Linked DNA regions of Callithrix jacchus. The protein of the gene in region 2 purifies or fractionates together with the protein of the main gene of each other region. This does not show direct contact. Links are inferred from orthologs where the notes say so. Each region holds a gene or a part of one and is shown on either strand. Other genes may lie near its edges.

The links.
Region 1: the proteins of SLC39A11 (region 2) and GALNT16 purify together in Homo sapiens (co-immunoprecipitation; 3 studies listed by BioGRID and IntAct, counting the BioPlex papers as one, with this or other methods). This does not show direct contact. The link is inferred for Callithrix jacchus from reciprocal best matches to the Homo sapiens genes SLC39A11 and GALNT16.
Region 3: the proteins of SLC39A11 (region 2) and FAM174A purify together in Homo sapiens (co-immunoprecipitation; 3 studies listed by BioGRID and IntAct, counting the BioPlex papers as one, with this or other methods). This does not show direct contact. The link is inferred for Callithrix jacchus from reciprocal best matches to the Homo sapiens genes SLC39A11 and FAM174A.

Annotation. Positions count from the first base shown.
Region 1 is NC_133509.1:104,343,114-104,346,143, reverse strand, and holds part of GALNT16 (polypeptide N-acetylgalactosaminyltransferase 16), read right to left. Parts: intron 2,483-3,030; coding exon 2,341-2,482; intron 1,646-2,340; coding exon 1,520-1,645; intron 85-1,519; coding exon 1-84. UniProt on the Homo sapiens protein: Catalyzes the initial reaction in O-linked oligosaccharide biosynthesis, the transfer of an N-acetyl-D-galactosamine residue to a serine or threonine residue on the protein receptor.
Region 2 is NC_133506.1:129,011,846-129,015,495, forward strand, and holds part of SLC39A11 (zinc transporter ZIP11), read right to left. Parts: intron 2,868-3,650; coding exon 2,709-2,867; intron 1-2,708. UniProt on the Homo sapiens protein: Zinc importer that regulates cytosolic zinc concentrations either via zinc influx from the extracellular compartment or efflux from intracellular organelles such as Golgi apparatus. May transport copper ions as well.
Region 3 is NC_133503.1:109,934,931-109,939,236, forward strand, and holds the start of FAM174A (membrane protein FAM174A), read right to left. Parts: upstream 2,890-4,306; 5' UTR 2,721-2,889; coding exon 2,287-2,720; intron 1-2,286.

The DNA.
Region 1 (3,030 bases), on a different chromosome or scaffold from region 2:
GCTGGTCACCAGCTGGGCAGGGTTCGTCTCCAGGCAGAGGCCACTGACTGAGTGCTGGATGAAAGATCCTTTCCTCCTCCATTTCTAGGAGGAACGGAGATGGGTTCAAAGAAGAAGGAGAAAACAATGGTTTAAAAAAATAATGTTGTACTTTCATTTCATATGCATGTACGCAACCCTTGTATATAACTGGGACACACCCCCTTCTCCTTTTTCTTAGACATGATCTTGATCTTACAGTGGTGCCACCATAGCTCACTGCAGCCTCGTACTCCTGGGCTCACGCAATCCTCTTACCTCAGCCTCCGAGTAGCTAGGACTTCACATGCATACCACCAATGCCCAGCTAATTTTTCAATTTTTTGCAGAGACCGAGGCTCGCTATGTTGCCCAGGCTGGTCTAGATAAAACTTCTCACCTCAAGCGATCCACCTGTCTTGGCCTTCCAAAGCACTGGGATTACAGACAAGAGCTACCATGCCCAGTCATGCGCCTCGTAAAGTAGGCTGTGTATTCCTACGTAAGAGGCTGCCCCCACCCCACCCCTAACACAAGCTTTAAGCCCTGCCCTTCCCAGTGGGCTCTTGCTTCTGTAGTTTGCAGAAGTTCCTGTCCAGATCAGAGGAGGCAAAGCAGCTGAAGTACCATGTGCTTATTTACAGTTTAGCTTGGTTGCCACGTGCAAATCTGCATTTCTAGCTTCTATGTAGTTATTGGGCCCAGTTTCTTAGGTGGCATCAGTTGCTGGGGCTGAGGATTTGCCCTCTGCCTTAGATGGGGCTCTTGTTCTCCAGTTTACCATAGTTCCTGCCTGGTCCCAGCTTTTCTCTTATCGGGGTTTTCCCACCAGCTCCCTGTAGGCACTTGAGTTTGTCAGTCCCGGCCCAGGTAAATCTGTTACTTTGGCACACATGATTTCTTCTTCCTGTGGTCCTAAGCTGCTGACCTGTGAGGCCACTTCTCTACACCCCTAGTGGGAGCTGCCTTCTTTGTAGGGATGACATCTAGAAGTCACAGTGACCTGGGTTTGAATCTCAGCTTCACCCCTTCTCAGTGGTGTGATCTGACATATGTTCTTCAGATTCAGCGAGCCTCAGTTTACTCACCTATAAAATGAAGCTAGTACTAGAACCCACATCACAGGGTGGCTGGGTGGATTAGATGAGAAGATCTATTTCAAACATGTAACACAGGCTGTCCGTAAAAGCTAACACTTACTTGAATCATGGTGGTTGTCAGGAGCTAGGGATACAGTGTTAACAAGACAAGCGGTCCCTGCCTTCACGGAGCTCACAGCCTGGCAGTATGGCACTAAACAAATAATTACCCAAAGAAGTATTTCCTCATGGGTAAAATAACTGGCTTGATCTAGATGTAGACTTGGCTCCTCCTCTGCCCCAGATCCTTGCTCTGCAGGGATTATTTGAGTTGATTGGGGTCTCCCCCGCCAGGGTCTGCCACCCTGAGGCATGGTCCCCTGGGGCTGCTGGGTCTCTGTGCCAGAGGCGAGGAGACTCACCTGCTTGCCTTCTCTAGGGTTGCACATCTGCAGTGTGACGGGGGATCCGGGAGAGGACATCAAGGTGGAGGTGGCAGCCAGGCACTTCCCCTGCTGCTGGATGAGGTGGTCACTGAACAGCCAGGCCTGCAAGGCAGGGAGCAGAAAGGCCAAGTCAAAAGTACAGCGATGGATGGAGAGATGGGTAGGTAGGGGATAAAGCAAACACATGGCATATTTTTGTAAGATTTCTATGAATAATTATAGGAGCTAGGGTGGGTGTATGGGTATTCACTGTATAATTCTTCATATTTTTCTGTATGTTTGAATTTTTTTGATAATAAAATATTGAGGTGGGGGAGCTTAGCTGGAGCTGGCCAGAGGGCAATCACAGCTGTACCCAGGGACTGTGGGAGATGGGAGAGAATTACAAGACTTGGAACCAGGGCAGCTGGGAGCTGGTCCTCACTGGGGTCTCCATGACCTGCTTTAGTTTTGATGTGGGTGCAACACTCATGTGTGCACGGAAGTCTTGGACATTGCCTTTCACACGAGCCAAGCCCAGCTGCATCTCAGGAGAGAACTGGGCACTATCTGGGCAGCACTTCTCCCTTGGTAAGGACAAAGCAAGTGGTGCACACAGGATACCCAAGTGACAGGCGTATTGAAATGCATAGGATACGAATGCGTGGGAGCAGAGTATAGGGGCCCCTGGCAAAGTGGGTTTGTGTAAGGTGTAGGCAGAGGAGAAGAATAAGCGGGGGGAGTCCCTTAACCCACTCCGAGCAATGCCTCCAGCTCTCTCTCACGCCCATTCCTACCCGAGGTTCTAAGCAGCTTACCTGGGCAGGCTGGGGGTTCTTGGCAGACCCCCTGCAGATCCCCATTCCAAGCAGGAAGTCACCAGCTGTGTTCTGGCCCTGAGATTCTAAGCAGTTCATCCCCTGCTTAATGATGACAGGGAGTACTTCCTTCACGGGGACCCTGAGAGAGAAGGCAGCAGTCAGGCTTGTCCTCTGCCCCATCAGGCTTACCTACACCCTCTCCCAGACAGCAGCGTCCCTTCAGCTCTGGGGGTGCCAAGGTCTCCGTGGGAAAGGGCCTGGGAGCAGCCTGGCCAGCAAAAGGAAGTCAGTAGGGTTGGATGAGGAACAGGAGTGGCCTCTAATAAGACTAGGCATTGGTTCCAGGGGTTCTTCCAAGGGGATCTGGTAGCCCCTGGGACTGCCCTGGAGGCTGGGCCTGAGACATAGAGGATGGGGGAGCCATGGGGGGAGCTCAGGCCAGAAAAGCGGAGCCCCTCAGTCCAGAAGGAGGAAAGCCTCAGGAGAACATGGGGTCAAAATGTAGGCTCAATAACCCCAAAATGACAGGGAAGTGGGTGCTTTGAAAAGACAAATTAAACATAAATATGAAAATGTGTTTAATCTCAGTAATGATTAAAGAACTACATATCAGAGTCACCGATGTGTATTTACCATGTATGTATATTTGGACACACAAACACACACACTTAATTTAATGACAATGCC
Region 2 (3,650 bases):
TAATCCCAACACTTTCGGAGGCTGAGTCGGGCAGATCACTTGAGGTCAGGAGTTCAAGATGAGCCTGGCCAGCATGGTAAAACCCTGTCTCTACTAAACGTACAAAAATTAGCAGGGCATGGTGGTGTGCGCCTGTAAGCCCAGCTACTCAGGAGGCTGAGGCAGGAGAATCACTTGAACCCAGGAGGCGGAGGTTCCAGTGAGCCAACATCAGGCCATTGCACTCCAGCCTGGGTGACAAAGTGAGACTCTGTCTCAAAAAAAAAAAAAAAAAAAACCAATTACTACTGCATAGTACAAACTAGTCAATGACTGTTTACACTGCCCAGAGAAAACCCCTACGTTCAGACAGCTGACCAAATACACCTGACACGACCCCACCACCCCCACTCCCCTGGAACACAGTAAGACCCACCAGGATTGCAGAGTCAGAATGGGACCAGCAGGGCCAGTGCAGAGCTGCTGAGCCAGATCTCTGCCTGCTGCTCAGGGGTTAAAGCCACTGGGCACCTGCCAGGGCAAGCAGAATACATCATTGGAACAGCAAGTTCACATATAACCAGGATGGCCTTGAGATCAGAATACAGCAGCCTGCATTGAGGGCCACTGGAAGCCTCTACCACACAGACAAAGAGGGCAGCAAGGAAAAAGCCAAATGCCCAGGGGACAGAAACAGACACTGCCACTCAATTTTGTGTGTGTGTGTGTGTGTGTGTGTGTGTGTGTGTGAGTGAGACAGGGTCTTGCTCTGTCGCCTAGGCTGGAGTGCAGTGGCACCATCTCGGCTTACTGCAACCTCCACCTCCCAGGTTCAAGCGATTCTCATGCCTCAGCCTCCTGAGTAGCTGGGATTACAGGCTTGTGCCACCACACCCAGCTAATTTCGGTATTTTTAGTAGAGATGGGGTTTCACTGTATTGCCCAGGCTGGTCTCGAACTCCTGGCCTCAAGTGATCTGCCCCCTTGGACTCCCAATGTGCTGGGATTACATGCGTGAGCCATCACGCCCAGCCATGCCACTCAATCTTTTAACAACAAAAAATGACACACAGTCTTTAAGACAGGGGTCCCAATCTTTTCAACACCAAGGTCTGGTTTTGTGGAAGACAACTTTTCCACGGATGGGGATTGGAGTAGGGGGATTTGGGGATGAAACTGTTCCACCTCAGATCATCAGGCATTAGTCAGATTCTCTTAAAGGGCACACATCCCTTTAAGAGATTAAGTCACATTCTCTTAAAGGGCACAACATTTGACACACAGGAGCAGAGTTTGCGCTCCTATGAGACTCTAGTGCCACCGTTGATCTGACAGGAGGCGGAGCTCAGAAGATAAAGCTCACTTGCCAGCTGCTTGCTCACCTCCTGTTATGCGGCCCATTTCCTAACAAGCTATAGACCAGTACCAGTCCTCAGCCTGGGGGTTGAGGACCTCTGCTTTAAGACAATACCACAGCCGTCCAACATCACATTCAGCTGTCTGATCCAAAGAAAGGTTCTTCTATAACACAAGGAATTTGTTTTTCATTAGCCCGGGGCCCAGAGGCATAGTTCCTGGGAATCGTTTTAGCTGCAGAGCTGTCCACCATTCCTTTTCTTTCTCCAGTTGGGAACTTAAGAAAAAAAAGAAAGCAGGAAGGCAGGGAAGAGAACTTCAGCCTGTCTACCTCCCAGGGTACATGTCCACTGACTCCAGTGGATCTGACTGAATCCTGCCTCACTGTGATCCAACATGAGAAATGGACTGTGACCATTTCACAGATTTCTCCTGCACCCCTTCCTCTTCTAGGAGGGCAGGGAATTCAAGCACCAGTTCGGGGTGCTTCTGCCCTCTCTAGAACCTGTCTGGCTCAATGTCTGGTAAGGTGTCTCATGCTGTGATGATCACGGACCCCTTTCCTCTACTGAGAATGGTGCATGCAGATGACGGCTTTAGCCAACGGCTTGTGGCTCTCATGGCAGGACCTGGCCCCCGCTCTCTCGGCTCGGCCATCACAGCCACACTCCAGGCTGCAGTTCACATGGTGCTTCTCTGTAAGCAAATACATGCTCATTCCAAAACCCAACTCTCCAGCCTTATGTCAGCAAAAAGGCCTGAAATCTCTGGCTTATCCCCAGTTCCAGTGCATTTTTACATTTTCTAAATTTTACTATACAGTCCCTTGGGGGTGTTATCCTCAAACTAAAGGATGGAAAACTTGAGGTCAGGCATACACAATCAGTAAACGACAGGTGTGAGCTCCAGCCCAGACTCCTGCTGCACAGAGCCCCACCTGACCCTCGACCCTCCTGTCAACCCTCATGATATGACACGTTGTCAAAGGTCTAGTGCTACAAGATGAGGGAGGGTGGGATGTGTCGTCTCCCTGAAGATGTCCTACTCTCAGTAAGAGCCAGCATCATACTGATGAAGCTAGGTCCCACCCAGCAACCAGTTCTCGGCCCTCTCATATATACAGTGCCACTCAGCACATCAGCCATTTTTAAGGAAATGTGACATTCAAAATTGAACTTACTAAAATGTAAATAAGGAGGTAATTAGCAAGACATTATTTTCCTTAAGAAAGAAATCACCATTCAGTGCCTCTAATGCCTCTTTCTCTGTTTAAACACCATCTGGCTACTTAACAGAGACATTAACAGGTAATAAATCCATTGCACAGAGCGGGTATGTGTTAATACGACAGCTAAAAGTAGAGCGGTACTCACCAGGTAAGGCATCAGGAGGTCAGCCAAGTAGACAAAAGCTGCTCCAAGGGTGAAGCCAACAGCCACGGGCAAGAAGGCAAAGGCACCGAAGCCTCCAGAAGATGTGGCCATCTCAACTGCTGGGGCCAGGAGAGACCAATAGGAAGCTGCCAGCATGACCTACAAAACCCACAGCAAGCAATAAACATTAGAGTGACTGCAGGAGGCCTTCTAGATGGGACCTCACTTGCTCTCTGTGGCCCAGACTGACCCCTACAATTTCACATGAGTTAGGTCTTTCGTCCCAGGTTGGGAAGTCCTATCATAAACCAAAAAGTCAACCCCAGAATTCCTGGAGCTTACTATGGCAAGAACCCAATTTTGGGTAGGGCAGGGTTGACCTTGGGAGGATGCAGTCCAGTTTGCCGTCATCCAGCCTGTAACTCAGTGGTTCTCAACCAGCAATGCTTCTGCCCTCCACAGGACATTTGGCAATGTCTAGAGACATTTTTAACTGTCACACTATGAGGAGGGTAGAGGGAGGTTGCTACGGGCATCTAGTGAGGGAGGCCAAGCACACTGCTGAACATTCTACAATGCACAGCACACCCCTGACAACACAGAATTCTCTGGCCCCAAATGTCAGTGGTGATATTGTTGAAAGTTCCTTTGTTTTTTTTTTTTTTTTGAGATGGAATCTTCCTCTGCTGCCCAGCCTGGAGTGCAATGGTATGATCTCGCTCCCTAAAACCTCTGCCTCCCAGGTTCAAGTGATTCTCCTGCCTCAGCCTCCCAAGTAGCTGGGATTGTAGATACGCGCCACTACGCCCAGCTAATTTTTTTTTTTTTTTTTGCATTTTTTAAAGATGGGATTTTGCCATGTTGGCCAGGCTGGTCTCAAACTCTTGATCTCAGGTAATCCACCCACCTTGGCCTCCCAAAGTGCTGGGAATACAGGCGTGA
Region 3 (4,306 bases), on a different chromosome or scaffold from region 2:
ATGAGTTCTGAACACTGCCCAGACACTGTTAGCATCAGTCAAGCCTTGGATGCCAGGCAGCCAACTAAATGTATGTAGGACTGGGGCTGCATGAATGTGTTAGATGCTGGTTAAAGAAAGCAGTTTTTATTAGCCACAGTTCAGAATTTGGCTGTTAACACACATCATGTTTCTGAGTCATCAAATAGAATCTGATTGGAAAGACTGTATCTGTCCAAGTTTTACAACAATAATGACAGAAAATCAATGGCAATAAATATGTGTATTTAAAATTATTAAAAAGGTGGAAGCAAAAGGAAAAACAAGCAAGGAATATCTCCACCAAATGATCATTATACCCATAATTTATATGTCAAAGAGATAGAACACTCAAGAGGTCATGCATTTTTATAGGAACTATATACAGACAGCATTAAATATCCATTTTATAGGAACTATATACAGACAGCATGAAACATTAGTTATATAGTGAGGAAAATAATTTGTTTTAATATTCTTTTAATCTTTCTTTATATCAAGAAGAAAGTCTCAATTTGGTGGTAATATGCTTTAAACACTTCCAGAACATTTTCTAACTTCTTTAACAGAGTGTGAGCACAGATTTGCCAGCCTTTGTAAACCAACATTATCTAGCTTGAATAATATTGCTTATACCCGTGGTTCTCAAACGTTTTGGATTTCTTTACATTCTTAATATTACTCAAGACTCTGAAAGAACTTACACTGATGTGAATTACACATAACAACTTTTAACATATTAATTAAACCAGAGAAAACCTATACATATCAACAGATTTAAAATAATAAGAGTAAACACATTACAGGTTAACATAACTCCCATGAAAAGTAACTATATTTTCAAAAGAGAAAAAAATGTAAAATCAATGACATTTAGATTTTTATTTCCAAATCCCTTTAATATCTGGCTTAAGGTGATAGAAGTTGTTAAAAAATAGAAACAAAAATAGGAAACGGATTTTTATATTGACTTCTCCATTAAATCCTTTGCAATGTGTTGTTTGGTTGAAACATACAATGTCATTCCATCTTTACACGGATATAAACTTGTAATAGAAAGAAACATTTTAACAGCCTTTTTATATACTACTGGTTATTTCTTTTTCATACTACTACACCAAAACTTGACAAGCAGTTTCTTCAAAGTTAGTTGCAATGTGGAATCTGAAACAATATCTATCAACTATTTGTAAGGCCTTTAACAGCATGTATTATTTTGAAAACAATTTTAATACTGTAGATCCCCTGAAGAGGTCTAAGAGGTCTAAGTGAAACTCCCACCTCTGTGGTTCCCTGGCCCACATGTCAAGAACCTCTGGCTTACACTATTTTTTAACCAGCCAAGTGATGTTGGTTTTCCATTCATGATCATAATGACTTGTTTAAAGGGAAACTTTTGCTTTAAATAATCAGTTAAAAGAAATATTTTAAATTATAATACAGAACATAATTATGGGAAAAATGTGCAGTAATTTGGAAAACAAAAAACCAGCCATCTGCAAACCTACCCTCTACACTTATTTTACAATGAAGGAAACTGCTAACAGCTTTCCTTCACCTTGTCTCTTTGCTGGCTTCTCCTAATTGTGAGGTCTTGGCTCTTTTTGCCAACTCTTCAGGAAGGTGATTCTCAAGTAATTAGGTAGAAGCGAATTACTTACGTGGCAGATTAAAGGCTAATACTAGTAAGGAAACACTGATAGTAAGGAAGAACTTTTCTTCTCCCGAATTTTATAAAAATAAAATAGCCATAATAAGGCACCTCTATACTACTATCAATCCACTCAAATACATATTAAATTCCTATTAAGTGGCAGCACTATACAAAAATTTATAAGACTCACAAACCTATTAGATAGATATCCTCTCTTTAAAGACTTTGCATTCTGATTGGCAAAATTTTGACCACTGGCAAAATGTAGAGTAGAAAGGCAGAAGTATTTTACAAGGCAAACTTGTCAAATTCAAGGAAATAAAGATTATATTCCCATCAGAGAAAGGGTGCCCTTTGAAGCTGACGTGGCTCGTAGGTGAGATGAAGAGATTTGGAGGTAGGGCGCTAATTTATAAACAAAAGGCAGCAATTAGTTGTGGGCTTAAATTGCCCCAAAAGTAACAGGCCTTTAAGACAGTCAAGTTACATTCTTAGGCAGGAACCCCTGATGTTGGGGAACAGGGAAAGGGTCACAGAAGTCAGCCTTGCTGGAGGAAATCACTGGCCTGCGCATCTCAGGCCCACGGGGGAGCCCCACCGAGGCTTTGCCTCACCTGACCGTCCTGACCACGAAGTACACCAGCACCGCGCCGCTCACCACCATCAACACTGTCAGGGCCCGCTGGGTCATGGGCTTGTCGCCAGGGTTGGGGCTCACAGCAAGGCCGCCACCCACTGAGCCTTCCCCGGCCTTCCCTCCGTGATCCTCCGCCTCAAGCCCGGCCCCGGGGCTGCTACCATTGCCGCCCTCGGAGCCCCGCGGCCCCGCAGCTTCAGCTAGACCACGGCCTGGCTGCTGGGCAGCAGTAGGGCCCGGTGGCAGCGGCGGCAATGTCCGTGGTCTAGGGTCAGGAGGCCCAGGACCTGGCGCGACCTCGGCTGCCTGTAGCAGCACTGCCAGGGGCCCGCTTAGCTCGGGCAGCAGCAGCAGGAAGAGGACGGAAGCCAAGAGGTGGCTGAGACAGCAGCAGCAATGCGAGGCCTTCATCGTTTCCAGACTGCTCTCTCACCACCCGGGGGCTGCCGGGCCCGCCACGCTGGCTCCAAGAGGGACCATAGGCGCAGAAGAAAATGAAGAAGAGGTGACCAAACGCCAGAGAGAGGCCCGGTCGTGGCAGGTGGCAGAGGCTCTGGCAGCTGCAGCTGCCGGGAGAACCGGAAGTTCGTGCATCTCAGCGGCCACTGCTGCTAAGGACGCCTTCGGTTGCTAACTTGTAGGGGCGGGTGCCCTCGGTGACGTCAGAGGCTTAGTGCCGAGTGCGCACGCGCACTTGTGGAACGCGCAAGGACTTGTCTTCTGGAAGCTTTTTGCTCTTTTCACTGTTAGTGAGGAGCGGTCAAAAATGCGTATTAACAAAGTAAGTAGCCAAAAATAGATTGTGTAATATGTACAGCAACTCTCTCCTGCAGGAACCTTGAGAGAATGGAAGCTCATAATCTGAATTTATTGGTGTCAAACTGCAATAACACATTTAAGCAGTAAGCCAGAGGGACTTAGTTTCCCTCAGCTGGATTACCAGCCTTAAGCATGTGGGTACCTCACCTCCCTTTCTAAAGAGTGTTTACTTTAGAAAACTTTAGCATTGTAATTTTTTTCCGCTTTTCTTTTCAGATGTAAATGTTTTTAAAAAGTTGTGGCCAGTTTTGTAGTTGAAAACTATCTCAAGGTTATGGAAGCCATGCCTTTGAAATATAATCAGCAAGGAAGATAGCCATCTCTTTTTTGTGGGAGGATAGGAGCCTAACCACTGTGGGCTTCTCCCTTCAAGTCTTAAAACCACCTCCTCTCGTGGAGGAGAAAATTTACTTTTCCTTTTTGGTAACCTCAATCAGCAAACTCAGGTAGCCCATGATTTTCCCAACATAGCTCTTAAAAACTCTTCACTACTGCTTTTTCTTTTTTTAAGTTGAGCTTAGAAGAGTTCTATCCCCTTTCCCGACTGCCAGTAATCTTCAATAATGTCTTCCTTGCCTGTTTGACTTAATAGTAATATGGAACTTTGATTTGTGCAGATAACAAACGAAAAATCTGAAGAAGATCAGAAATTAATATTTGCCAACTTATTAAAATGTGTTTATTCAACAAATTGTTTAGCGTTCCTACTCTTATTTATTTAGAGATGGAGTCTTGCTATGTCACCAAAGCTGGAGTGCAGTGGCGCAATCTCAGCTCACTGCAGCCTCTGTCTTCTGGGTTCAAGTGATTTCCCCTGCCTCAACCTCCTTACTAGTTGGGATTACAGGCATGCACCACCATGCCCAACTAATTTTTATATTTTAGTAGAGACTGGGTTTCACCATGTTGTCCAGATGGTCTGGAACTCGTGACCTCCAGTGATCTGTCCACCTCAGCCTTCCAAAGTGCTGGGATTACATTCTGATTATTGAGTGGTGAACAAATGTGACTGATCCTTGCTTCATAGAACTTAGGTTCAAGTGGTGATAATAATCACACTAATTTTGAAATCTGAATTGTGTTTTTAAAATGAAACATACAACCTATACTACAAATTTTGTAAATTGCTCTTTTAGGTAGAGTAGACAGGATTGTATATCTTTTAGCTGCTTTCAGGG